Linked DNA regions of Cricetulus griseus. The protein of the gene in region 1 binds, or shares a complex with, the protein of each later gene. Links are inferred from orthologs where the notes say so. Each region holds a gene or a part of one and is shown in the gene's direction. Other genes may lie near its edges. The genes, in order: Gli1 and Sufu.

Region 1 (9,547 bases):
ATAAAATAAAAATTAAAAAATTAATTAATAATAAAATAAAAAAATTCTTGGTGGCACACGCCTTTAATCCCAGCACTCGGGAGGCAGAGGCAGGCGGATCTCTGTGAGTTCAAGGCCAGTCAGAGTGCCAGCATAGGCTCCAAAGCTACACAGGGAAACCCTGTCTCGAAAAACCAATAAATAAATAAATAAATAAATAAATAAATTTTTGAGTCAGGCCCCACATACTGAGTGCATGTACCTTTACTGCATCTTTCTTTTCTTTCTGAAAATTTTTAAAATTTATTATGTATATAGTGTTTTGCCTGCGTGTCTGCCTGCACACCAAAAGAGGGCACCAGATCTCATTACAGACAGTTGTGAGCCACCACGTGGTTGCTGGGAATTGAACTCAGGACCTCTGGAAGAGCAGCCAGTGTTCTTAACCTCTGAGCCATCTCTCCAGGCCCCTAAATTTTATTTTTTTAAATAATGTATGTGTTTGTGTCTGTGTGGGTTTGCACATGTGATTGCAAAGGTGCGGGGCATCCTTGGAGCTGGAGTTATAGGTGGTTGTGCTGGTGTGGGTGCTGGGAACCAAACTCAAGTCCTTTGGAAGAGCAGCTAGTGCTCTTAACCACTGAGCTGCCTCTCCAGCCCCCTTTGCTGTTTCTTGACTCCTATCTCCTGCCCTAGGGCCACTCTTTCCTCCTCCCCGGAGTTCAGTCAAATTGACAAAGAAGCGGGCACTGTCCATCTCACCTCTGTCCGATGCCAGCCTGGATCTACAGACTGTCATCCGTACCTCACCCAGCTCTCTTGTGGCTTTCATCAACTCACGCTGCACATCTCCAGGAGGCTCCTATGGCCATCTCTCCATTGGCACCATGAGGTGCTGGCACCTCAAACTAAGAGACCCCTAAAATATGTACTGAAACCCATTAGAAGACTCGGACCCTTCAAACCTCCAGCCCAACTTGAACCCCTAACCCTCCCAAAGGGGAACCCTTTTCAGAATCTCCCTGGGCTTACTCAACCAAGCCTTCCAGAAACCCACAAAATAGAGCAAGGATTCCGATGACTGATAGTCTTAAATAACAGCCTCCTCTTCATCTAGCCCATCTCTAGGATTCCCACCCCAGATGAGTCACCAAAAAGGGACTTCGCCTTCCTATGGAGTCCAGCCCTGTGTTCCACAAGACTCTACTCGGGGTGCAATGATGCTGCATCCTCAGTCCCGGAGACCACGTCAGACCTGCCAGGTGGGACTCTCCACATTGCCATCTTACTTGGCTTCCCCGACTCAGGATAGGTGGGTAGTAGACTTAGCAGCAGCGGGGCAGGTGAAGGAAGCCAGTACACATAAAAGCCTTTGGTACTGGGAAGGTAGAGGTATAGATGGCAGCCCCACCCCTTCCCTCAGCAGGGTTGACTCAGACTTTCTCAGATGAGAGCACACCTGTCCATCCCATTCGCCAGTGCGGGCTGTGGAGGAAGTCCTTCCACACTCACAGGAGTCCTGCTATTGGGTGGGGGCCCATAGGGCAGAAAAACCTGGCACGCTTTCCCTTCTGACTACTCCATCCTCACTACCCTCACCTCTTTCCCTGGAGAAGCTGAAGTCAGAGCTGGACATGCTGGTAGGCAAATGCCCAGAGGAGCCGTTGGAAGGGGACATGTCTAGCCCCAACTCCACAGGCACACAGGTAAGGGAAAGGGCAGGGTGCTCTCTGTGGGACCTGAGCAAAACAAAACTTGCCACCCATGACCCTAAGAGTGTGTCCTTTGCCCTAGGATCCCCTGCTTGGGATGCTTGATGGGCGGGAGGACCTGGAGGAGAAACCTGAGCCTGAATCTGTGTATGAGACTGACTGCCGCTGGGATGGCTGCAGCCAGGAGTTTGACTCCCAGGAGCAGCTGGTGCATGTGAGCCCCAGGGGATGACAGATGGTTGGTGGGAGCCTGTAGGAGACTGAGTGGGTCATTATGGTCTGCTCAAGGGCAGAGCAGGTGGTTCAAGGATCCTGGGGTCAGAGATGGCATGCTCAATCCTGCAACCCAAAGCTTGGAGTAGCTTTTCTATAGAAGGCTAAAAGACCCCAAGTGTGGGATATGCTGCCTTCCTGACCTTTAACTCCCCCAGGAGGCAGTGCTGAGGAGGATGAATGGGGGGCTGAACGAAAGGGATATGTCCCGGGTTTGGGTGGCATCGGGAACCCCAGAAAGCCTCGTCTTCTCCCTCCTCAGCATATCAACAGTGAACATATCCATGGGGAGCGGAAGGAGTTCGTGTGCCATTGGGGGGGCTGCTCCAGGGAGCTGAGACCCTTCAAAGCCCAGTACATGCTGGTGGTGCACATGCGTAGACACACGGGCGAGAAGCCGCACAAGTGCACGGTGAGGCACCCATCCCTCCCCATATTGGTGCCAAATCAAGGTAGGGTCCAAGGTAGACATTTGCCTTCAAAGTCCCTTCCTTCATAAGCAGATGTTTAAACATCTTGCTGAAGACTGTATTGATAGAAAGATGAGCACATTGATATCTATTAAAATGTTTTCAGTTACATTTTATGGGGTGGTGGAGTCTTGCATTCCAGGGTGTCTGTGTGGAGGTCAGAGGGCAATTTGCAGGACTTGGTTCTCTTCTTCCACCATGTGGGTCCTGGGGAATCAAACTCAGGTTGGCAGGCTTGGTGGCACACTCCTCTACTCACTGAGCCATCTTGCTGGCCCTAAAATATGTTCTTGGTATGGTGGTATATGCCTGTAACCCTAGCACTTGGAAAGCTGAGGCAAGAGGATCAAGCGTTTGAGGCCAGGTCTCAAAAGAAAAACAAAACAAACCAGGCCTAATGGCACATACCCTTAATCCTAGCACTTAGGCAGCAAAGGCAGGCAGATCTCTGTGAGTTCAAGGCCAGTATGGTCTACATGATGAGTTCCAGGCTAGTCAGGACTACACAATGACACTATCATCTCATAGATGAATAAATAGCAAACAAAAACAAAACAAAATTAAGTTTTGGATCAAACAAACTTTTTCCCTTTGATTTTAAAAGAAATGAAAATATGTGCTGGGCATGGTGGCACATGCCTTTAATCTCAGCCCTTGGGAGGCAGAGGAAAGCAGATCCCTGTGAGATGGAGGTCAGCCTGGTCTACTCTGGAGTGAGTTCCAGGATAGCCAGGGCTACACAGAGAAACCTTGTCTCAAAAAAACAAAATAATAACATAAATGAAAACATACTTATAAATCCCTTATGTGGGCCCCTTAGTACTCTTGCTACTACCTTGCCTGGTGGATAGGCCCTACGTCATTGCTCTAGGACACTCATGATTTCAATTTAGGACAGTCTGAACTCTATACAGGGGGACCTGCTCCAAGATGTTCCCTACTTAACAGCCATCCCCTACCCTGAGCGTTTCCACCTTTCTCTGCCCTTGTGCCCAACCAACTCCTGGGATTCTCTGGGGTTCCTGTGTCTCCCCATTTTTAGTTATATTCTCTGGTGTAAACCCTTAAATCTCTGTGTCCTGTCTGAGAAATGTTACTTGACTCCTTTCCTGTCCCCCAGTTTGAAGGTTGTCGGAAGTCATATTCCCGCCTTGAAAACCTTAAGACGCACCTTCGGTCACACACCGGTGAAAAGCCTTACATGTGTGAGCATGAAGGCTGCAGCAAGGCCTTCAGCAATGCCAGTGACCGCGCCAAGCACCAGAATCGGACGCACTCCAATGAGGTGAATGCCCAAACTATACTCTTCCCATTTGAGACGCTACCTTCTATGTGATTCCCCTGGTAAAGAGCTCCTTAACTCCAGTGGCAAGTTCCCCTACAATGTAATTTACACCAGGAACACTTGAGAGAAGTGCTGCTCTTTGGTCTAGCCAGCCAAAGGGTCAGTGTACAGTAGACCCCTGACCCTTCAACTTCTGAATTTATGTGATCTCACAGCCTTAGGGGGGAGGGTGTCACCTCTTTTTTCTTTAGCCCACACCATCTATTTTCTTAACTCTTCTGTAAGCCTCTCCTGATTTACTCTACCGGGGGCTCACAATACTCTTTCTTGCTCGAAGGCTGTGTGTCCTCCCTCACTTACCCCATTCTATTTGTGTTCTGCCCTTCGTCCCTTGACTTTCTGGCTCGGCAATGCTACTACTCGACAGAAGCCGTATGTATGCAAGCTGCCTGGCTGCACCAAGCGCTACACGGATCCCAGCTCACTCCGCAAACATGTCAAGACGGTGCATGGTCCTGATGCCCACGTGACCAAGAGGCATCGAGGGGACGGCCCTTTGCCACGGGCACCGTCCCTTTCCACGGTGGAGCCCAAGCGGGAAAGGGAAGGAGGGCCCATCAGGGAAGAGAGCAGATTGACTGTGCCCGAGGGTGCCATGGTGAGCCAGCCTAGGAAGTCTTGCCTCCATATCCCATCATGCCTTCCTTCCCCTCTTTCCAGCCTGTCCTAGAAGCATCCCCTTCTATATGCAGTCTTCTGCGGCCAGCCTGCCTGTCTCTAGTTTTAGTGTTGCTCCATGGCACAGACACCAGATCTAAGAATGCTGTTACAATTGTCAATTCTTTAATTGGTCGGACATATTCACTTTTTTTGGGGGGGGTGCTTCTGGGAATATGAACACATGCAAGCAAATTCTCCACCACTAAGCAAGTCCTCAGCCCCCCTATGGACTCGATCTTAAGTAGCACTTAACTATGTAGTTCCAAGCCTTAGGTGCACATATTTCATGTTTTCTTCAAAAGAGCAAACAGGCAAAGATAAGTTGTCAGGGTCAGGGTCATAGAACTAAGGGGGAATGGAGCCCTGGGTCTCTTTACTGCAGCAGGGGCCCATCCCATTTTCTTCCAGCTCACCCTAACCTCCCGCCTGCTCAGTCCTCTCTACCCTTGCATGACTGCCCTCAGCTCTTGCAAACCACTGGGACACAGGCTTCCGCCACTCCCCAAGGGGAAGTGGTAGGGGGTGGGTACCACCCTCTGCTCTCAACCTTCTCACAGAAACCACAGCAGAGCCCCGGAGCACAGTCCTCCTGCAGCAGTGACCACTCCCCAGCAGGCAGTGCAGCCAATACCGACAGCGGTGTGGAGATGACTGGCAACGCAGGGGGCAGCACTGAGGACCTGTCCAGCTTGGATGAAGGACCTTGTGTTGCTGGCACTGGACTTTCCACACTTCACCGCCTGGAGAACCTCAGGCTGGATCAGCTGCATCAGCTCCGGCCATTAGGGTCCCGGGGTCTCAAACTGCCCAGTTTAACCCATGCTGGTGAGACCTGGGTGTGGGAGGTGTTGCTGAGCTGAGCTGTGGACCTGTCCTGAAGCTGAAGTGATAAGGTCACCCTTTGAGTTGCCACATGGCATCTTTTTATCATCTGAAAAATATTCCCCCTTCCTTGAAGATACTTTTCCTTCCATTGACCAGAGAATTATAATATATATCTAGGCATGGTGGTTGTGCACCTGTAGTTCCACCACTATGGAGACCGGGGCAGCAAGAGTGTTCAAGGCCGCCGGGTGTTGGTGGTGCACGCCTTTAATCCCAGCCCTCGGGAGGCAGGCGGATCTCTGTGTTCGAGGCCAGGCTGGTCTCCAGAGCAAGTGACAGTATAGGCTCCAAAGCTACACAGAGAAACCCTGTCTTGAAAAACCAAAAAAAAAAAAAAAAAAAAAAAAAAAAGTGTTCAATGCATCTGTGGTACATTATCTCTATAACTGCAGCCGTGTACAAGATAATAACTGCCCGGAATCCTTGCTGAAAGGAGACAAACAGCATGGTTAGGGCGAAGAAGCCTAGGACTCTTTTACCTTGGGGCTCCAGGTCAAGGCTAACCTGTGGGATAGGCAGGGTGGGAACCACAGGGGTTCCCTACCACCTGCCTTTTCTCTTGTCATTTGCAGGCACACCGGTGTCTCGCCGGCTGGGTCCCCCGGGCTCCCTCGACCACCGCAGCAGCAGTTCTAGCAGCATCAGTTCCGCTTACACGGTCAGCCGCCGCTCCTCCCTGGCCTCCCCTTTCCCACCTGGATCCCCACCAGAGAATGGGGTGTCCTCCCTACCTGGCCTCACGCCTGCCCAGCACTACATGCTCCGTGCCAGATACGCTTCAGCCAGGGGGAGTGGTACCCCACCCACTGCGGCACACAGCCTGGATCGGATGGGGCATCTTCCTGTACCTTCTTGGAGAAGCCGAGCTGAGTACCCAGGATACAACCCCAATGCAGGGGTCACCCGGAGGGCCAGTGACCCAGCCGGGGCTGCTGACCACCCAGCTCCAGCCAGAGTCCAGCGGTTTAAGAGCTTGGGATGTGTCCACACGCCCCCTAGCGCGGCAACGGGAAGGAACTTCGACCCCCACCTTCCTACCTCTGTCTATTCACCACAGCCTCCCAGTATCACTGAGAATGTTGCTATGGACACTAGAGGGCTTCAGGAGGAGCCAGAGGTTGGGGCGTCTGTGATGGGCAATGGTCTGAACCAGTACATGGGTTTTCCATCTGCTGACTCGCTGGGATACGGGGGACCTGAGGGAGCGGCGGCTGAGCCCTATGAGGCTAGGGGTCCCGGGTCCCTGGCTCTTGGGCCTGGTCCACTGACCAGCTATGGCCCTAGCCACTGTCCCCAGCAGGTCTCCTATCCTGATCCTACCCCAGAAACATGGAGTGAGTTTCCTTCCCATTCTGGGATGTATCCTGGCACTAAGGCTCCAACTGGAGCCTATATCCAGTGTCCTCGACTTGAACATTATGGACAAGTGCAGGTAAAACCAGAACAAGGGTGCCTGGTGGGGTCTAACTCCACCGGACTGGCACCCTGCCTCAATGCCCACCCCACAGAGGGGTCCCCAGGCCCGCAACCTTCATTTTCCCATTACTCCCAACCCCCTCCTCCCCAGTATCCCCAGTCAGGTCCCTACCCTCGGCCTCCCCATGATTATCTCCCGTCAGAACACAGGCCTGGCCTTGATTTTGACTCCCCTTCTCATTCTGAAGGACAGCTCAAAGCTCAGCTTGTGTGTAATTACGTTCAGTCGCAGCAGGAGTTGCTGTGGGAGGGCAAGGGCCGGGGAGGGCTCCCCAACCAGGAACTTCCATATCAGAGCTCCAAGTTTCTGGGGGGTTCCCAAGCTAATCAGAGCCCTGTCAAGGGTCCAGCAGCTGCCTACGGATCTGGCTTTGCACCTGCTCTGGCCAGTCACAAGCCCGGCTCCTTTCCGGCCCCTTCGCCATGCCATGAGACTTTTACAGTGGGTATAAACAGGCCTTCCCATAGGCCAGCAGCAGTGCCACCCAGGCTTCTGCCCCCATTGCCTTCTTGCTATGGACCTCTCAAGGTAGGGGGCGCCAACCCCAGCTGTGGCCATCCTGAAGTGGGCAGATTGGGAGCAGGCCCTGCCTTGTACCCTCCCCCTGAAGGGCAGGTGTCCAACCCTCTGGATTCTCTTGACCTGGACAGCACTCAGCTGGACTTCGTGGCTATTCTGGATGAGGCCCAGGGGTTGAGTCCTCCTCCTTCCCACGAGCAAGGGGACAGCTCTAAAAATACCCCACCTCCCTCTGGGACCCCCAACATGGCAGTGGGTAACATGAGTGTCTTACTGGGGTCTCTGCCGGGAGAGACACAATTCCTCAACTCTAGTACCTAAAAGGATAAGGAGTCCCAACCGGATCATGTTTCCTAGACGGCCACATGAGGTGCCCGGGAATGGGAGGATTGGGCTGGGGAACTCTATTTAGTCTATGTATGTTCCAGGAGAAAACTTTAATAATAATGACAGTTTCCTGACAATAAAGGAATGCTGAGAACAAGTACCTTATGGGTCATCTTGGGGAGAGTGGACATGGGGCTCACGTGCCTTCCTCTCCAGAAAACTCCCACGGCTCAGACAGGACTCGGGAAGTGGGAGAGTGTCCTTTGGGAGAGGGCTTACAAGATGTCTTCAAAGCAGAAGACCTGCCATCCCTCTCCGAAGACCAGATGACAGATGGCAGGAGATGTCCTTTTCCTCATCCTTGCCTGCCCGGGTCAGGTGAAGAGGCTATGGAAGTCTCCGAAGGAAGACCAGCTGACAGATCGAGGGAGATGTCCTGTCCCTCACCCATGCCTGGGTCAGGTGAAGAGGTTTCCAAGTCTCTGAAGACTGGCTGACAGATAGAGGGGGGTGTCCTTTCCCTTGCTCTCACCCGCCCTGGTCAGGGGAAGAGGCTGTCGAAGTCTCTGAAGACTGTCTAACAGATGGGAGGAGATGTCCTCGCCCTCGCCCACCCCGGTCAGGGGAAGAGGCTGTCAAAGTTGTTAAGCATCAGCTGGATCAGCTGCCCGGGGTAGAACACGTGGGCTGTCATGTCAGAGGTCTCCTGCTCTGGGCGGAACAGCGTTGGTCCAAACACAATTCCCAGGTTGTGGGCGGTCATTCGGTTCTCATCTGAGTGTGCGATCACCCTGAGGACAAAGCCAAGGAACGGGAAATGGGCAGTAGCTACTACCCACTACAAACCAGTTCAGCCCCATTAGGTATGGGCAGGGCAGGGATCGCTCTGGGATCCCTCCACATGCTGACTGAAGGAACAAGTACAGACCTAAAGAGGAGCAGAGATGGGCCAGGAGAGAGCTTCAGGACACAAGCTGGAGGCACAGGTCAGGTAGAACTGCTAGGTTCTCAGTTCCAGGGACAACCCCAGAATCCTCTCTGCTCACAACCTGAGAGGCTTTCGTTCAACTAAATAAGTCACCCTGCCCCAGTGGGAGACTAAAGCCAGGGAAGGAAGAGAGAATTCCCGTGTTTCTCTCATAGTATCCCCGGTCTTATCGTGTACTTGGGCACATGTCAGTGTGCCCCTATCTCCACGCTCTCTGATCAGACAGAGCCCCCACTGAAGGCCCACTCCACCTTCCCCAGCATGAACAAGGCCGTTCAGTTCCTGACCTGCATAAATGCTCCAGAATGTACTGCAGTGTGTCACGGTTGGGCTTCGGCAACAAGTCCACTAACTTTTTCATTTCAGAGAGACACTGATCTGGCTCAGAAAGTTCTAGAGAGAGCAACAGGAAGGATAGGGGAGTGAGGTTAGGGAGAGTGATACAACAGGGTGGGTAAATTCACTCTTTCCCATGTCCATGAACAATATCACTTGACTAACACCGCGCCCCCCCCCACACTTTGGTACAAGAGATTCAATCCACCACGGCCTTACATATGATAAACACAAAATTTACTGCTAAGCTATAACCCTCCACTCTTTCACGTGGCTCAAGTGTGACTTTCAGAATTGTCTTCAGCTCAGCCCTCTAAACATTCACACACATTTCTCCCCCTCTGCCTCCAAAAAAACTAGAGTTGGCATGTAAACTATTTCCCATCCTTGTAAGCAGAGATAGAAGGGACCCTCTGTTCTGTTCTTTGCTACACAAGTCATCCCATGTCAGGCAAGCTGCCCTAAGTTCTTGACTCTTACCGAGGGCATCACGAAAATGTGGCAGCAATGGAGTAGGCACCAGAGGCTGTGGCAGCTCCCGGAAAAAAAGCTTCAAGGCCCCGGTGACCACATGGA
Region 2 (9,996 bases), on another chromosome or scaffold:
CGTCTCAAACAAACTAAAGAAAGAAGTATCACTCTATCATTTGCAGAATTACAAACATATCTGAAACCCCTCACCTTGATTGGGTCTCCCTTCCCCCTGGCCATTTTCTGTTACCATGATAGAGATCATTAGTTATTCACCTATCCACTCACCTAGCCAATGAAAAGGCTTTATTGTGTGCATAGTGGTACCGGGCTCTCAATGCCTTGTAGAGTCGGGTGGAAGAGGAGTAGTGGTGAGCTGGAGAGATGGCCCAGTAGTTAAAGAGCACCAGCTGCCACACTGGGATAGATCCAGAGTTTGCATCCTTCCCTGCACCCCATTCATGTTGGATAGTTCATAACTGCCTGCGGCCGCTAGTTCTACAAAATTTAAGCCCTCTTCTGGCCTCCAAAGGCACCAGCTCTCTCACATGCACGTGTGTGGTCATGCACAAGAGACACATCTGGACACACACAGACAGACACACACACACACCACACACCACACACACAAGATAGAGATGGAGGGAGGGGAGGGGAGAGAGACATTGTGGGATGAAAAATGAAGGATCTCACTCTCCCCACATGATTTAAAAAGTCTGTCTAGTCTAAGTGAAGACAAAAACTAATACTTCAAAACAAGGTGTCTCATTTAACTTTGCTTAACCTACTATCCCAAACAAACAAACAGGGTCTTAGAGGCTGGCTTCAAACAATGACCTTGAATTTCTGATTTTCCTGTCTCCAAGTGCTGGGATTACAGGCATGGACCACATCTGACTTCTTTTTTTAAATATTTATTTATTTATATTTATTATGTATAATGTTCTGCCCAGGCCAGAAGAGGGTACCAGGTTGCATTACAGAAGGCTGTGAGCCACCATGTGGTTGCTGGAATTGACCTCTGTAAGAGCAGCGAGTACTCTTAACCTCTGAGCCATCTCTCCAGCCCCACATCTGACTTCTATACCAGGTCTATGCTGTCTGGGGATGGAGCCCAGGATTTCACAAATGTCAGACAATGCTACCAGCCGGGTGACATACCCCCCCCCTCCCCGCCGAGTCTCAGCTTCACTTTGTTTTTTGTTTTCCAAAACAAAACAAGGTTTCTCTATATAACAGTCCTGGCTGTCCTGGAACTAGCTCTGTAGACCAAGCTGACCTTGAACTAAAACAGTTCCACCTGCCTCTGCCTCCAGAGTGCTGGGGGATCAAAGGTGTGCGCCACCACTGCCAGGCTCAGCCTCACCTTTTAAAAAGGCAGTTTACAACAAATAAGACAGCCTTCCTTGAAAGATTGAAGAACTTGGAACTAGATGATTTCATTGTTAGTCTTGGATCTTCAACTCCTAACGGGGCCGTCTGAAAAACCTTCCCGAGTCTCACGTTCCTGCATAAACTGGGAAAGCAATCTCCATCTACCTACTATGCAAATAAAAGAACCTAGCGGCACGCCCAGGTGAGAAGGGCTGAACATCACAGTTACTCCGATAAGGTCGGCCTAGGACAGAGGGGTTACTCCACAGCGGTTTCTCAAAGGAGGGATGCTGAAAGAGCACAGGACCAAAACTTTGGGTGAAGCATAGAAACCTTAGACATACTGCCCCGCCTCATAAAGGCAATCCTTAGGCTCTTTCTATTCATCATTATCGATGCGTTCGTGGAGGGGTGGTTAGCAAAGGGATGACATTTAGATAAGGCGATGAACTTATACAGGGCACCGCTGCGGAATATGACCTTGGTCACTTCCATCTTCGGTGTTCGTTCTGTGAAAGGAGACGCAAACTTCCTTCTTAACCGTTCACTTTCTGTGAGGTTGGCTTCAACTGACAGGCTGGCGAGAGCGCCCTGGAAACGCTAGCGTACCTGACAGACGCTCACGCGTCTGGTCACCTCCCGGCCTCTCAGCCGGGCACGGCCGAGAGGAGGGCACCTGGCCTGCTTTGTCACTCTCCTTCTTTGTTTACCGCTGCTAACGAGAATTCCTAATCACAAAAATAACTGGAATCCCATAGGCATTTCTGGCACCGCATTATGCGGCCCCACCCTGATTCAGTTTCCTATGCGGCCCAGCCGGCTCACACCCCACCTTCACCGCTGGACCAGCCGTCGCCTTCCGCTCCCGGAGTGCGCCAAGCCAATCCCCGCCGCCCCAGCGCACCGCCCCACCCCTCCCAGAAAGGAAGCGACAGGCTCGCCAGCCAATTACCGCACACTGCTGGTCTAATCCGGCCAGGCCCAAAGGCGGGACCAACAGGCTGAGATAGACAGCGAGAGCAGCCAATTGGGTGACGAGAAGCCAGGGAGAAGGCGGGTGCTAGGGTCTCAGAACGGTTAAGGCCCCTTGAGCCGAGGGTCCAAGGACCCTTCTCGGGCTACAGCTCTTCCCTTTGTTTACGCCCAAGCTCTCCATCACACGAGTGCTGCTGGCCGCCCTGCCTGCAAACTGTGGCTGTGGGGAGGACGGGGGCGGCGGCGGCTGGACCCGCCTGACAGGCCGGGCCAGTGACAAAGAGCAGGCGGCCTAGGCTGAAACCTCGGAAGCGACCCTTTCTGGAGGGCAGCGCAGTCTCTCTAGAGATAGGAAAGGCGCTACTCACGTTGTCGATCACGACAGGCTGGTTGGCGATCACATCGTAGGACTCCATGGCAGAGGAATCTTTCCTTCCGAGGAAGGAACTGCCAGCCCGGTCCGCTGCAAACGCCACTGACGCGCATGCGCAGTCTAGTCGCCGGTACTGGCCGTCCAGGGAGCGGCCCGACCTCGTCTCCGAAGAACTACAATCCCCAGCATCCTTTGCCCCAGGGCTGGCGCTCCAGGCAGAGCCCGAGTCCCGCCGGGTTTAGAAAACTGGATTGTGTTTCCGATGAAGGGTGCGATGGGGTTTGTAGTCTCGGTAGAGTCAAGCGCCACAGGTGTTCATTATGGTGCATGCCTGGATTTGTAGTCCCTTCGAAGCTTTTCCTTTAAATTCCAGAGTCTGGAGTACTTGTACTTAGTTGAGGTTAGGTTTGACAGTAGTTCAGGGGCTGTTGAGTTTTACCTATTCATCTCACCACTCAGCCATTCCTGCACTTGGGCAATGTAAACCATTAATAAACATTTCTGGCACTGAAATGTCGCTCAAGGGCAGAATGCTTTCCCAGCACGTATAAGAAGCGCAGCAGTGCCCGTAGCTAGTGGCGCACCCTGGAGGCAGAGGCAGGCGGATCTCTGAGTTCGAGGCCAGTTTGGTCTGCAGAGTTTCCAGGACAACCGGGACTACACAGAAAAACCTTGTCTCGAAAAAACAAAACAAAAAACCCATGAAGCAAAACAAAGGTTATCAAAAAAATACCTGTAGTTGGATGCAATAGAATACTGGTCTAAAATATTATCTACAGGTTTAGAGACTGCTTTAGTATCTTTTCTTGAGCTTAAAACCTTGATGGAGCCGGACATTGGTGGCACATGCCTTTAACCCCAGCCCTGGGGGGGGGGGGCAGAGGCAGGCGGATCTCTGTGAGTTCGAGACCAGCCTGGTCTACAAGAGCTAGTTCCAGGACAGCCTCCAAAGCCACAGAAAAACCCTGTCTCGAAAAACCAAAAAAAAAAAAAAAACAACAACAAACAAAAACAACTTGATAGGTGAGAATATTCAGGCAAAGAGAAAGTATGCGTAAATGCTTTCCCCTGGAGTATTTATTTCCCTGCCTCTTCAAGTTTCTTTGAGTCATCGGCACCGAGATATATTAAAGAGTTGTAACATATTAATAAAGACACACAAACGAATGAGTTGGTCAGTTGTCAGGCTTATCTTAAAATCGCGTATCAGGAAAACAGTACTAGCTAGGAGCTTCTTAGCGCTTTCACCACTCCTGGCACCTCCAGGTTCCGCGTCTGTTTCAAACTGGGTTCCTCCTAACACTAGGGGGAGGCCGAGATCCTTGGGACGCTCCCAACACAGAGGCAGGGAGGCGGGGCCTATTGTCAAGTCACGCCTCTCCATTTGTGACTGGCAACGGCACTAACCAATGGGCGGCAGCCAAGGGCACACCGACGCCCCGCCCCCTGGAGCTCCCCGCGGTCCCGCAGCACCCTCTGGCCGACTCTGCGAAGGCTAGGGCTTGGGCGGACGGAGCACCGTGCGCAGGCGCGGAGTTAGACCTCGCCGTAGCCCCCATCGCCTCGGGGAGTCTCGTCCACTGTGGGTCCGCTGGCCCATCGGGGCGCCTCCCCTCTTCTACCCTCCCGGGTTCCCCGCGCGCCCTACGCGCCCCGATGGCGGAGCTGCGGCCTAGCGTCGCCCCCGGCCCCGCCGCGCCCCCGGCCCCTGGCCCTAGTGCCTCTCCGGCCTTCGCCTCACTCTTTCCCCCGGGACTGCACGCCATCTACGGAGAGTGCCGCCGCCTTTACCCCGACCAGCCGAACCCGCTCCAGGTCACCGCTATCGTCAAGTACTGGTATGCCCTGGGCCTCGGGGGGACCGGGGCCGCCGGGACGGCTTCGAGCGCCGGGCACGAAGTAGTTTGCAGCAGCGGGAGGAAGAAAACGGTTAAAGGACTTGGGAGCCGGGAGCTTCCTGATGCTGGGGACGGAGTTAAGACAGAAGTTGGGAGTGGGGACAAAGGGTTAACGGACCCTCTGAGTAGTGAGGGGTTAACCGGGACTGGGGGGACTGGGAGCCGGGGGTGTGAGCAGGGGCGGAGGGGGGACGTGTGAGAGCGAACTGTAAACGTGGAGAAAGGAGGGGCGCCTGGGGTGGGTCATTGGTGGGCTTGGGGAAGCCAGGGGGCGGCTGGAGTGGGATGGGGGAGGTGAGGCGGGGCCTGGAGAGCATTTGAGAGTGCTTTGGAGGGCGCGAGACCGCGTAGTCCAGGGCGGTCTGGGGACCAGGAAGCCCCTGTGGGCTAGGAGGGAGGAAGATGAGGGCATTGTGCCTTTGATGAGTGAAGAGTTGAGGAGGAGACCTTCTTTCGGGACCTTCCCGAGCGCTGGAGCTTCTGTCATTCAGTACGAAGCTGTTGCTCTTGAAGTTTGACAGAGCCACTCTTCCAGATAAACTTTTTGCTTACTCTGCACAGTTCTCTCTCTGCAGAGCTTGCTTCTGGCGTTGCAGCTGCTTTTGCTTTAGGACTTTAGTGAAGAACAGGCTCAGTGAGCCGTGCTTTGGCTCGGGATTGAAGGGGATACTGCATGGGAACTGCATGGAGGAGACCTTAGTCGTGGTCAGGGGCAGCCTGAAGACGCGCCTCCTGTCATGTCTTCAGGATTTCAGCCGAAGTTTCTCCTGGGAAGCCCAGGATAAGTTTAAAGTTGCTCAGTAAAGGATTAGTTTCCAAATGGGCTGTTCTTCGGGAAGAAACTACCCTTTCTGATTTCCCGTTCTTGTTTGCAACAGGTGTTATGGGGACGAGTTCTCATTGTCTTTCTGGACCAAAAATAGACTAAGAGATGGCCGCATTCATGCAGGAACTCAATGTATTAGATGATCCCTTTCAGTGGATCTTGGAAGACTCCCGGGGCAACTGCTTGGGGTACTGGCAAAAGGTGGACCTGAAGGGGGAAAGTGGATGCTGTTGCTGGTTTACACCCCTTTTAAGGCTGTCCTTTTCCTATGCAACACCCCTTGCGGCCTCTGGGGAAGGCAGTTAGGCTGTACAGGGATGAGATTAACTCCCTGTGTCGGTGAGAGGATGATGCAAAGAAAACTGACAGCCTGGAGGGCCTGGGGACCAGCCTCTGTTCTGGTAGCCAGGAGTGCATCTGTGGCAGGCATGCTGTTCACAGGCGGAAAACAGCATGAGTGGAAAACAGCTCTTGGTAACCTTGTTTGTTTGTTTGTTTTTTGAGGCAGAGTCTCACTATGTAACTCTGGCTGTCCCAGACTCGTTTTATAGACCAGGCTGACCTGGAAAGCACAGAGATTCCCCTGTCTCTGTCTCTGGAGTGCTGGGATTAAAGGCATGCACAAATCCAACCAGTAGTAGCTCTTGCTAACTTAATCATTTTAATTGCACCTTTATATTTAACTATGTTGTGAACTTGTCCCATGTTATGAGAGAAATGAGGCTGGCCTTTCCATGGTGTGTGTTTGCTCTGATCTTGTTTAAGTGTGAGGGGAAGTCCCTCAAAGAATAGGGCAACTGGCTTTGTTACCTACATGGCTGTCATGAGAGTTGTGTGGTCAAGGTATGGAAGCATTATACAAAGGACCAAAGTAGTTACAGCATTCTTTTCTTTTCTTTTCTTTTCTTTTCTTTTCTTTTCTTTTCTTTCCTTCCTTCCTTCCTTCCTTCCTTCTTCCTTCCTTTCTTCCTTCTTTCTACCACAAGCTTGTAGTGAGGCTGTGTCCTCAGAGGTAGACCAGCATGTGGTAACAACTGGGAAGGCATGTACAGCATTTTGTGAAATAAGAAAGGCCACCTAGATGCGGGAATATAGGAGGAAACAACTTAGGGACTGTTTTGTTTTTTTTTTTCTGAGACTCAGGGGGATTTGCAGAATTGAGATACCGAAGTTTATTCATAACCTTACCTTTAGAGTCTTACCAGCCCCTTCAGTTCTCATAGCAGGGTACTAAACTGCTTGAGTCTGGCTATAGGACTTCTTTTGGATTTGAGGGGTGGCTTTTTAGCTAGTGGTCCCTGGCTGGCAGGGGTACTCCAACTAATACTTGAGACTTTTCGAAAACAAGTCCAGGATCAAAGCAGGTAGGCAGAGCCTGGCGCTCTGGGTCCACTCTAGTCCTGCAGCTGTTCTCTAGGGAATTCAGGGTTAGGGGTGCTTTAGGCCATTAGAGCACATCTTTCCCTAAGTGTCAAGCATGATTTTCAACATTTATCTGAGTGTGGATGATAGAACAGCACTCTCTGAGCTTGGGTATGAGGCTGTTTGGTTCTTGCCATTCCCTGACTCCTCTTAAGGCCTCTTCTTGATATGCCCTCTCCTGGGAGACTGTCTGAAGGAGCTATAGTGTGCTGGCAGGTGGAGCAGGACGTGGAGCACAGTGTCACTGCTTGTTGCTCAATGGACTGAGGCTGCAGCAAAGGCTCTTGGGGATTTGCAATAGGAAGTTGGAGGGAATATGGAGCCTGTATTTTTTAGGGTTCTGCAGTCATAATGGGGTCCTTTTCTTTCTTCTGTCCTTCCCCAAAATGTTTCTAAATACAACTGGTTATGGATTTAGTCAAGTGATTTGGTGATGGTGCATGCACACCTTTAATCCCAACACTTTAGAGGCAGAGGGGGATCTCTGTGAGTTCCAGGTCAGCCTGAACTACAGAGATAGTTCCAGGACAGCCAGGCTACACAGGAAAACCCTGTCTTGCAAAACAAAAAACAAACAAAAGGCAGGCATAGAGACTTGGCCTTTTACCTAACTCACTCAGGTGAGAGCTAAATTATTTGTAGTGACTTTCTTTCTTATGAGTTCTATAAATAACTTAGCCTTTTCTTTTCTTTTTCCCCAGAGAATAAGGATTTCTGCAAAGGCTAATAACATCCTGGCAAAGAGGATGAAACCAGACTTACTGGTTTTAAAATAGGATTTGAATTGCATGGTCCTGGCACGCTTGCTGGGATCTCCTGTACCATGTCTTTTATTTGGTTGTTAGCGGTCCCTCAGTAGTGTAGCCCACATGCAAAGTGTACTCCTGCCTATGGTCCAGGGCCAGGCAAAGATTCTACAGTCTGTGGAGTACAGTCTGTGGTTGCTCACATGTGGAGTTCATGGGCTCAGTACACACTTTGTTCTGCTGATGGTTTCCATTTAGTGTGCTTCTCAAGTCTACTATGCTTTCCTGTCCATTCTTAAGGAAAACAGTTTTGTTTGTTGCTTGTTTTGTTTTGCTTAAGCACTAATTACTAAAAGAACTTTTATTGAATTAAATCTCTAGTGAGGTAATGACTGAATATCTTCTTCAACTGCTTCTCTGTTGGATTTATGGGGAAATTTAATGTGAGCCTTGGGAGCATCAAATTGTGAATTGTCCCAGCTCTTCTTTGAGACAAATGACTCGGATGCTCCTTAGCACGCAGGTGCTCACAGGGTCAGCCTGGTTCATTGCTTCAGTGCTCCGCGTAGAGCTGGGCTAGCTGATGTTTGGACTTTGTCACTCTCAGTGAATGAGCTTTGATCTGTGCAGACCAGAGGCTTTGTGTGTATTTAGAAGAAACAATAATAGAGGCACAATCCAGGCTTTCAGGAACTAGCTGTCTAAGAGACAGGCGTAGACTGATACCTGTACTGCCAGGAATGACGTCCATTGGGCATGCTCTGTATAGTCATTCAGCAGAAGCCGCAGCCACTGCTTAGCTGATGCACCTCTTACCTTGAAGCCTGGCATGTTGTCAGGCCCCATAGAAGACTCCAGCTGGAGTCAGCAACTTGAAACAGGAGAGAGCAAGGCGTGCAACCAGCAAGTGTGCTTCAGAGGGCAGAGAAGGGGGCTTCTTGGTCATGAGGCGTCAATAGCCTCAGCTGCTTCACCCGTGGCTCGTTGCTAAAGAGATTTTTGCTGCCCTTTAGTTATCTTTTGCTTTAGGTCCTTCTAGGATGGGGCTTTTGGGTTTGTAGAGCAGAGCCTCTTACTTGACATTTTCTGGTATCCAGGTTTAAATTGACACCTTATATTTTGTCTTTTGCAGGTTGGGTGGTCCAGACCCATTGGATTATGTTAGCATGTACAGGAATATGGGGAGTCCTTCTGCCAACATCCCCGAGCACTGGCACTACATCAGCTTTGGCCTGAGCGACCTCTATGGTGACAGCAGAGTCCATGAGTGAGTGTATGCCACCTGTCTTTCCTTGATAAGTCCATTTCTTTGGCTTTATTGAACATGTGTGATGTTCTGTGGACATGTTAGTTCTACTAGGTGACACTTCCCAGTGTTACCTCTCTGTTTGTACTTTCTGCTTGTGCTATGTAGACCTAGCTGGTATTGAACTTGTGCTTGTAGATGGCTTAGGTTGCTCTTGAAATTCTCCATCCTCGCACTTGAGCCTCCTGCGTGGCAGGGGTTGTAGATATGTGCAGCAAACTTGCATTCATCTGTGCTAGCATTGTCCACTTCATTTTTAGCACTGATCTGCTTCTATTCCTTACCCTTTTTGAGGCTAGAGAGATGGCTCAGCCATAGCTCAAGTGGTTAAGAGCACTGGCTGCTCTTCAGAGGACCCAGGTTCAATTCCCAGCACTCACAGGACAGCTCACAACTGTCTTAACTCCAATTCTAGCAGATTCAGTATCTTCTTCTGGCCTCTGTAGGCAACAGGCGCATAATGGATACACAGACAAACATGCAGCCAAAACAACCGTACACTTAAAATAATAGAATAATTTAAAAAATTTCTTACTCTTTCACTGATTTCTCTTTATAATCACCTAGTATATGTCTTAATTCTAAAATATATATTTGAGAATTAATATATATATATATTATATTTTCATATATATATTATATATATATATTTTTTTTTTTTTTTTCGAGACAGAGTTTCTCTGTATGGCTTTGGAGCCTATCCTGGCACTTGCTCTGGAGATCAGGCTGGCCTTGATCTCACAGAGATCTGCCTGCCTCTGCCTCCTGAGTGCTGGGATTAAAGGCGTGTGCCACCAACACCCAGCTCTAAATTTTGGTATTTTAATACCAAGCAAAAATATAATTAACTTAGTATTTAATCTTCCAAAATTGCAATTAGAATAATTATAAAAGCTAACAACATTTTTTTAAATCACTGATTATATGCCAGGTACTCTTCTATTTATTTTATACTTATGTGTCACTAATGAATTTAATTTTCAGCATAACATTGTAAAATTGGAAGGTGATAATATGTGCCCCACTTAGTATGAGGAAATGGAAACAAAGAGCTGCTATAACATAATATTATTTGTCCACAGGGTGAGGGCCAAGATTGATTGATTGATTGGGTGATTGATTGAGAGCCAGGTTAGATGTTGATAGTCTGGCTCCACAGGTCAGACTCCTTCAGGATCCTCAGGCATAGTAGCCAAGTGCTGTATCATGGAG

What was found.
Region 2: the proteins of Gli1 (region 1) and Sufu are in contact, whole or in part, in a crystal structure (PDB 4KMD), measured with the Homo sapiens proteins. The link is inferred for Cricetulus griseus from reciprocal best matches to the Homo sapiens genes GLI1 and SUFU. Residues at the interface, in NP_005260.1 of Homo sapiens: Gly119, Ser120, Tyr121, Gly122, His123, Leu124, Ser125, Ile126, Gly127; in NP_057253.2 of Homo sapiens: Leu144, Tyr147, Asn153, Thr154, Phe155, Gly158, Asp159, His160, Val161, Ser162, Trp163, His164, Gln212, Asn265, Leu266, Ser267, Gly268, Val269, Ser270, Ala271, Glu376, Leu380, Lys398.

The regions. Positions count from the first base shown.
Region 1 is NW_023276806.1:130,394,367-130,403,913, forward strand, and holds the end of Gli1 (zinc finger protein GLI1), read left to right. Parts: intron 1-675; coding exon 676-871; intron 872-1,096; coding exon 1,097-1,241; intron 1,242-1,592; coding exon 1,593-1,685; intron 1,686-1,773; coding exon 1,774-1,905; intron 1,906-2,226; coding exon 2,227-2,376; intron 2,377-3,554; coding exon 3,555-3,719; intron 3,720-4,146; coding exon 4,147-4,377; intron 4,378-4,996; coding exon 4,997-5,264; intron 5,265-5,896; coding exon 5,897-7,641; 3' UTR 7,642-7,805; downstream 7,806-9,547. Other genes in the region: Arhgap9 (rho GTPase-activating protein 9), read right to left, coding at 8,267-8,438, 8,923-9,028, 9,452-9,547. UniProt on the Homo sapiens protein: Acts as a transcriptional activator. Binds to the DNA consensus sequence 5'-GACCACCCA-3'. Regulates the transcription of specific genes during normal development.
Region 2 is NC_048596.1:15,196,106-15,206,101, reverse strand, and holds the start of Sufu (suppressor of fused homolog), read left to right. Parts: upstream 1-4,047; 5' UTR 4,048-4,242; coding exon 4,243-4,424; intron 4,425-8,610; coding exon 8,611-8,745; intron 8,746-9,996. Other genes in the region: Actr1a (alpha-centractin), read right to left, coding at 2,582-2,629. UniProt on the Homo sapiens protein: Negative regulator in the hedgehog/smoothened signaling pathway. Down-regulates GLI1-mediated transactivation of target genes. Down-regulates GLI2-mediated transactivation of target genes. Part of a corepressor complex that acts on DNA-bound GLI1.